Linked DNA regions of Struthio camelus. The protein of the gene in region 1 binds, or shares a complex with, the protein of each later gene. Links are inferred from orthologs where the notes say so. Each region holds a gene or a part of one and is shown in the gene's direction. Other genes may lie near its edges.

Region 1 (3,746 bases):
GGCTGTGAAGCAGCGGCAGCCTTTGGAACACGACCACGGACACAGAGAAGCGCGATGGCTTCTCCCTCTTCGCCCCCCACGCACAAACCAAGCCCTGAAGACAAACCTCCGAGACGCCAGCATCTTCCCGGCGCCCCCGAGCCGCTAGGCCCCGTCGCAACGGAGCGAGAGGGGACAAAGCGGGAGCGGCTGCGCCCCCCCGGGAGGGGCCGGGCGCCCGGCGCGGCGCAGCCCCCTCCCCTCCCCTCCCCTCCGCCGGCGCCCAGGGCCGGGCATGCGCAGTGGACACCGCCCCCCGCGCTAATGTAGCGCACACGTCACCCGCCGCCGCCGCCCCGCCACGCGCGCCCGCTGCCCCCGGCCGGCCGGCCGGCCCCCTCGCGCTCACCTGTGTTCCCCTCCCCACCCGTCGCTCTTCGTCGCCGGGCGGGAAGGGCCGGAGCGGGGGGGGAGGGGGGTCGGCGGAGAGCGGGAGGGGCCGGGAACGCTCGTTGTCCGCGGCCCTGCTTACCCTGCCTCCTCCCCCCACAAGCCCCTACTCTCTAGCGGCCGCGCCGCCAGCCGGAAGTGACGCCATAGGGCTGCAGCCCACTCAGCAGGGAAAGGGCGGGGCATGCAGAGGAGCACGCTCGCACCCACAAGGAGACGAGCCGGCCAGCCAACCACAGGGCCGACAGCCTCCTTCTAGCCAATCAGCGACCTCGTTACTGACAAATAATCAGGTCCCCCGAGACTTGCAAATAAACTGGCCCCTGATTGGGCCGCTTCTGCTTCCGCCGAGCCCTCGGCGGGAGCGGCCCGCGCCCCTTCCCGGCCCAGCCGGCGTGTGCAGCCGCCGGCCCGGCCCGGCCGTAGGCCCCGAGCAGTGGGTTGGCCCGCGGCGGGGCTAAGGGGGTGATGCTGAGCGGGGGAACGGCTCGCAGGGGGCGGCCCGCTCGGCCGGGCGGGCGGTTCCTCCCGCGCGGTCCCGCCCGCCCTGGCCGGAGGCGGAGCCCCCCCGCCCCGCCCCCGCCGCAGCACGCTGCCGCTGCCGCCGCCGCGCCATGGCCGCCGCCACCTGGCGATACCGTGGGGATCCCGAGGCTGAGCAGCCCGCGCTGCTAGGTGAGGTGGGCCTGGAGCAAGTGGGGGTGGGGGGGGAAAGGGGGCCCGGCCCGGCCCGGCGCGAGGCTTCTTCCGCGGCAGGGTGGGGAGCGGCCCTAGGCGGGCGGCTGTTGGTGGCCCCGTGCCTCACGCCAGTCCCCCGGTCCGCCCCGCAGTCCAGTTCTCCAACGGGAGGCTGCGGGAGGCCGACGACATGCGCTTCACCGTGTACCGGGATAGAGACAGCGCCAACCCCCGGAAGAGGCACCGGAGGATCCTGGTAAGTGCTGCGGCCGCATCCCGGGTCACCCTTTTTTAACTAGCGCCTGGCCTTTGTAAGCTTTGGCGGTTTTGCCCAGAGGAGTCGCCGGGAAAATTTGGAAACATACGTGTTTCTGTATATGTACGTTTTTAAACTTACTGTTGTAACAACTATAGTTCTAAAAATTACCCACTTAATACATTTTAGCTTCTATATAATAACTTACATGTTAGCAGCAATGAGTTGTGTATCAGAAGAGTCCCCAAACTGCCTCCTTCTGCATCCAAGCTCCTGTTCAGCTGTTAGGGATCAGGGTGAGATTCCACCTGACACCTGGCCTAGGAAGCATAAGTAATCCCATCTCTGCATATTTTGAGGTTTGGGTATATTTTTTACACCATTTTCCTCAAGGCTCTGGTGCTGACAGCTTCCACAAATAAGAACTAGAAACCCTGGTAAGATAAAAAGTGTTGTCTAATATTTAAGGCACCTCTCTCCCTCTCTTCAAAGCATTTCTTGGTTTCCTATTTGCTTTTGCAAATACAAATACAGTGAATGAGCCTCTGAAAATCAGTAAGGACTTTATTTTGTAGACTCTTTTAAAAGTGATCAGATTTTGAGCCCTTCCTTCCAATTTTTCCAAAAAATCTCTATGTCCTGATATATTTTAGGGATTTCTGGGCAGTTCTAGTTCTGATATTGGCTCCCATTGTAGTAGAGAGAGGAGTGATGGTGGTGGAGGTAGGGTAGAGCAAAGTTTAATGTGCAAGATAGCTCTGCTTGAGGGTGAGAAGGGGATAGATACTTGTTTTCTTACTGTGAAGTTCTGGTGAGTGAAGTTCCCAGCAAACGCAGTTTATAGTTTCTCTAACAAGCCACAAGATGTCAACAGTACTGCAGGGAGGTAGTACCAAATATTGGTATGCTGCCAAGGTCTCAAAGCATTAACTGTCCTCTTTTGAGCATTTCAGGATGAGACAAGTGAATGAAACAAGCCTCGTGCTCTTTCAAACATAGCATTATTGGGCTGTGACTTTTGGAATGGAAAGGAACCTGAAACACACAGTATAGTATATTATACTGATAGTGACAAATGAGAGTTAGTAACCTTTCAGTCAAAACTGAATACCTGCTTAATTAAATAGTTTTGATTGATACACAGTGGTGTATTCTGAAGCTCATGCTGATATACTGATGTTGCATGTGCTTGATTTACTCTAGTAACCCAGCTAATAAAAGAAGTAATGCGTGAAAATTAAAAGCTGCTACTTAAAAGATAACCAGGTCCATGCAAGTACAAAGTCTGCACATTGTTTCCTGGTTTCGTTGTGTTTACACAATGAATCCAAATTCTTTGCCAAAGTCTTTTTTTGATTAGATTACATTTTAAGGAATTTTTTCTTTCTTTCATTGAAGAGAAAGCAGAGTTCCAGGTCAGAAGGTGCTTTTGACTGCTCTTGTGACGTTTTACAGCTGTTTACATGCATGGCTCACTCAAGGAATATGTGGTGGTTTTCAGCCCAAATCCTCAGGAGAAGGATTTCATACAGTAGAGGCACAGGCGTTTAAAATGTATTTAGGTGCTACCTCATAGTGCTTGCTCTTTATCAGTCAGTTACGGTCACCTGGCAACATTAAATCTTTAAATGGCTCATTCACAGTTACACGGAAACTTTTGGCCATTGCTTCTGGATTGAAGCATGGTTGTCAACCCAGCCAAGTATTTTAATTGTTGTGACGTGTGGGTTTGTTACCGCCATGAACTATTAATTTAAAGTATGAGTCTCATGATTTCCTTTTAATGATTCTTTGTCTTCTGGCTGCTTGATAGAACAAGTAGGCCAAGAAAGAACAAGTACTTGCAGCTTCAGAAGTGTCTTTCTTTTAAAGACTTTGACCTGATGCAAAATGCTCCCAAAGAAGACAAAATGCACTTTATCTACACATGACTAGCATCTGATGCCTGGGAATGCAGAGCTTTGTGGTACTTGGGAAAATAAAATGGATATAGAGGTTAGTCGCAGACAGATGGCCGCCCGTTAAGGTAATTTTTCCTGTGTTTTTCAGGTCTCGGAAACTGAAAGGCTTTCATATGTGGGGAATAACTTTGGCAGTGGAGTTATGAAATGTAATTCCCTATGCAGGTATGGGCTGCGGGCAAACCTGTGGCAGGGACCTGGTGGCGGAATCTTGCCTTGTGTTGGCGTACCCATCTTGTCTTGCCTTTGGGCATACCCAAAGGTGCTGCTTTTTTTTCTCTCCTTTTAGTGTCTGTTTCTGCTTCTACTAACTACAGAAACCTGAAACGTGTATTATGCATGTTGGATCCATAGTCCCAAGTGCTCTGCTCCACAGATCTGCTCCAGTTGTTTTATCCTGTTTGCTGATGTAGCCGGTATCT
Region 2 (3,746 bases), on another chromosome or scaffold:
TGTTAGATAGCATATAAGGCAATTAAAAGTTATAACAGTAGTCAAAACTTATCCAATCTTTGTAACACAATCTTTTGTCTAAATTACTGACTGTCAAATTTAGGATCACTGGGCAACTGTATGTGTGAGAAGGGTCATTACATGCAAAATCCTTCAGCTGAAAAGAGAAATTAAATTACTCTGATCACTAAGACACAATCAAAGGAAGATTAAAATAGGGAAGCTAAGGGTATACATATAGCTTATGGATATAAACCACTGTTCCTAGCAGCTTCCATAGATTATCATGTTGTTTTCTTCTGGAGTGCACAAACGTGGGAGAGATTAGAGACAAAGAAAGGAGCAACTGATCAAAAAGAATTTAGCAGACTGTAATACTAGGTAGTACTACATATCCAGCTTACTTTCATACTGATAAAGAATTCATGTACCTCAAAGCTGTTTCCTTATCTGCCTGGTGCCTGATGTTTTTACTGAAACCCCAAACCTTGAGGCAGGAACGCAGATGACGTACTGCTGCTCCCTGCTTCCTCTTAGCACACAGATACATACGTACAGAGAATTTCAATACTGAAAATCGAGATGTTTATCACAATTAGACGACTCCAAGAATAGTGGCAAACGAACAGGAGCTTTTAGGATTTAAGTTCCATTCAAAGACTACTGCTGGCACAGAAGTCTCCTTCTGGATGCAGATTTCAGTGACTGATATTACAAAGAAGTTTTCTTTTAAAGGTAGTTGAAATTTCTGCATTTGTACTGACATGCTGTTGAGAATGACAAAATTTGTATCAACCTTTTTGATGTCACGGCTGATGCTGAACTATCCAGAATGATAACAAACCAATCCAAGTGTCATGTAAAAAATTAAAAAATAACCTGCAGAGTGAAAATCAAAACTAGGATTACTTCCTCCCAAACCGGGTATGTTAACCAGCAGAGAATAGTCACCGCCTTATTTGTCCATAACAAATAAACAAACAAAAAAACCTACACACCTTCAGGACAGCATCACTCCTGCATGAAGCAGAAAATGTAGGTTTGTGTCCCCAAAGACAGAAGCTCACACCTCCATTTCCAAGACTTGCTGTCATCACCTCGGTCTTAAAAGATATCGAGGTGCGATAAAACAGCTTAAACATGCTTGTCAAATGCAAATATATATATTTTTTACCGGTTAATTATTTCTAACCTTACAGTTAATGATTAGAGGCAATCAGAGTTGATTCTGGGACAGAATTCGACAAATGGAAGTAGGACACGCTTGCACGTGTTCTTTTCCATCCACCCACACCACCCAGCACCCTCTGGGGCTTTTCACGTTTTCTCTTCTGACTCCACTTCCTTTAGGTATCGAAAACTGAGCCCTTCCCTGCCTCCCTCTCCCGCCAGAGGAGGAGCGACGGAAGGGGGCCCGCGGCGGAGTCTGTCCCCTCCCGCGCCTCGCGTCTCCGCCCGGGCCCCGCCTGCCGCCACGGCCGCCGCCAACGGCCGCCGCAGACAGACCCCCCCCCCGTCTCCTTGGAAACCGAGACAGGTGCGCGCGCAGCGGGCTCCCGGGGGGCCCCACCCACAGAGCTGTGACGTTGGCGCCCGGCCCCGCCCCTGCCGGACCTGGAGGACAAAGCTTCCGGCTGAGGGAGCGGCGGGAGGTCCGGGGTGTCGACTTTTCTGCTCGCTGCTCGGAAGCGCGTCGCTCTCCGAGGGCTTCCGTCACTTCCTCTTCCCGCCCATGGAGGGGAGGGGAGAGCGGGGGGCGTCATCGCGCCGCGCCGCGCCGCCGGGACAGGCGTCGCTCCCGCCCGCGCGGCCCCGTTCCTGGCAGCACCGACAAGATGGAGGTGGCGGGGGAGCGGCCGGCGCCCGCCCGCCCGCTGCCCTGCGCGGCGATCCCCTCCTTCGCCGTGGCCCGCGGCCTGGTGGGGCGCCGCTACTCCTGCCTCGTGGTGACGCCGCACCGCCGGCACATCGCCCTGGCGCCGCGCTTCCTGGGCCGCAAGCGCACGGGCATCCGCGCCCAGCTGGACGCCGAGCTCCTGCGCTACTCGGAGAGGTGCGGGCGGGGGGCTCAGCCCAGGCCTCAGCCCACCGGGGCCCTCCGGGGCAAGGGCGAGCTCCCGCCCCGCTCTGCCGGCGCTCTCCCCGCGCTGGCGGCTGTCACCTCCTAGCCAGCCTCATACTAACTGCTTCTCCCCTTTTGCTTCCAGCCTTCAAGGAGTGCCGGTGGCTTATGACAACATCAAAGTAGTGGGTGAGCTCGGGGACATTTACGACGACCAGGGATTCATCCATCTGAACATTGAGGCGGACTTCATCATCTTCAGTCCCAAGAAAGGGAAAAAACTGGTGGTATGTAAATATGTTGCCATCTCGTGGGGTCATTTTCTCTTAAGTAATCAAAATCATCACGAAGAGATTGGGGAGTCTTAGGTAGTTCTATAGTGGATGTTTTCATAGTCTGTGCTGCATGTTCCTAAACTTATTAAATGTCAGTGCTCCTTTCTAAGCAGCAGATATAACTCTTAAAACCGGTTTAGTTTGTTCTCCTTTAATAGTGACAGGAGTGTTTAGAACACATTGAAGAGTTTCTTTAAGTGCAAGTGCAGTACATCAAATGTAAGCCTGCATTTCAATAAAAAGTGATATATGACTCATGGAAGAGCTTTAAGCTTGTTAACACCCTTATGCCAGTACTTGTGGGAGTAATAAGTTGAGGGTTGACTTTTGTTGTTGTGCCATACTTTTGGAAGTATGGCTTGTATTCCTCTATAAATGTAATTGAGATGTAAAAGGTATTCCCTTCAGGGGAAGAGAATGGAAGAACCCTCTGTGTAGTTCATTCATCTCTAGGAAAAGGAGAAGATAGATAAAGTTAAATATGCAAATGTGTCACAAATGCACTGAATAGAGCACTTACAGGTTTTTTGTGTCACAGGTACTGCAGAGGTGAAAGTCATCTTAGAGATGTAAATCAGGCTTAAAATGGCTTTAAATCAACATTGGTCACTGCAGTGTGAGGAGAGTTAACTGTTCTATGTAGCTTCTCACTTTCTTTTTCTGAACACATTTCTTTTTGCAGATACAGTTTCAGTCTTTAATTTGAGTAGAGCTGTATGAAAATAGCTTTGGGCGTAAGTAGCTTTTCTACATGAAAATCAGTTAATGTATGAGGTCAGTTTATCTAACAAGTAACTTGTGCACAAAGAGTATTGTGCAAGAGTGTCTGTACAGGAAACTAAATGTACATCATGTGTCTCTTTTAAAGAGGTGATCCTTAATATATCTTCATATGACTGTTTTTTGGGTTTTTTTTAGGGTGTAATTAATAAAGTAGCCCCTAGTCATATCGGCTGTCTGATACATGGATGCTTCAATGCTTCTATCCCTAAACCCGAACAAATGTCGGTTGCCCAGTGGCAAGAGCTGGGGTTGAAACTAGGGGATGAATTGAAATTTCAAGTAATGCATTTAGATTCTGATGCAGCTGGAGTGTTCTTCATTCGGGGAGGACTGACTAAAACCAGGTATTGTACCATACTAGGGATATTTTTCTTAACTATTTGATTTAATGAATTTGTTGCAAACTAAATGATTTGAATTAACCTCTTAATCTCTAAGTTTTCTTGTTTTTACACAAACCCATGTCTATATATAGCCTGTGTTATTTTAAATATTTTTGTGTTGAGGGCTTGCTGAGAAATTTTTTCTCAAAAATAAATATTTTGAGCTTTAAAAATCTTAAGTGT

What was found. Proteins that work in one complex are often made in the same cells at the same time.
Region 2: POLR1E (region 1) and POLR1F share a complex: the UniProt entries of both Homo sapiens proteins name them as parts of the RNA polymerase I (Pol I) complex. The link is inferred for Struthio camelus from reciprocal best matches to the Homo sapiens genes POLR1E and POLR1F.

Annotation. Positions count from the first base shown.
Region 1 is NC_090982.1:2,273,954-2,277,699, forward strand, and holds the start of POLR1E (DNA-directed RNA polymerase I subunit RPA49), read left to right. Parts: upstream 1-984; 5' UTR 985-1,043; coding exon 1,044-1,104; intron 1,105-1,259; coding exon 1,260-1,363; intron 1,364-3,412; coding exon 3,413-3,489; intron 3,490-3,746. Other genes in the region: ZBTB5 (zinc finger and BTB domain-containing protein 5), read right to left, coding at 107-123. UniProt on the Homo sapiens protein: Component of RNA polymerase I (Pol I), a DNA-dependent RNA polymerase which synthesizes ribosomal RNA precursors using the four ribonucleoside triphosphates as substrates.
Region 2 is NC_090943.1:35,514,576-35,518,321, reverse strand, and holds the start of POLR1F (DNA-directed RNA polymerase I subunit RPA43), read left to right. Parts: upstream 1-1,613; 5' UTR 1,614-1,835; coding exon 1,836-2,053; intron 2,054-2,207; coding exon 2,208-2,349; intron 2,350-3,315; coding exon 3,316-3,524; intron 3,525-3,746. UniProt on the Homo sapiens protein: Component of RNA polymerase I (Pol I), a DNA-dependent RNA polymerase which synthesizes ribosomal RNA precursors using the four ribonucleoside triphosphates as substrates.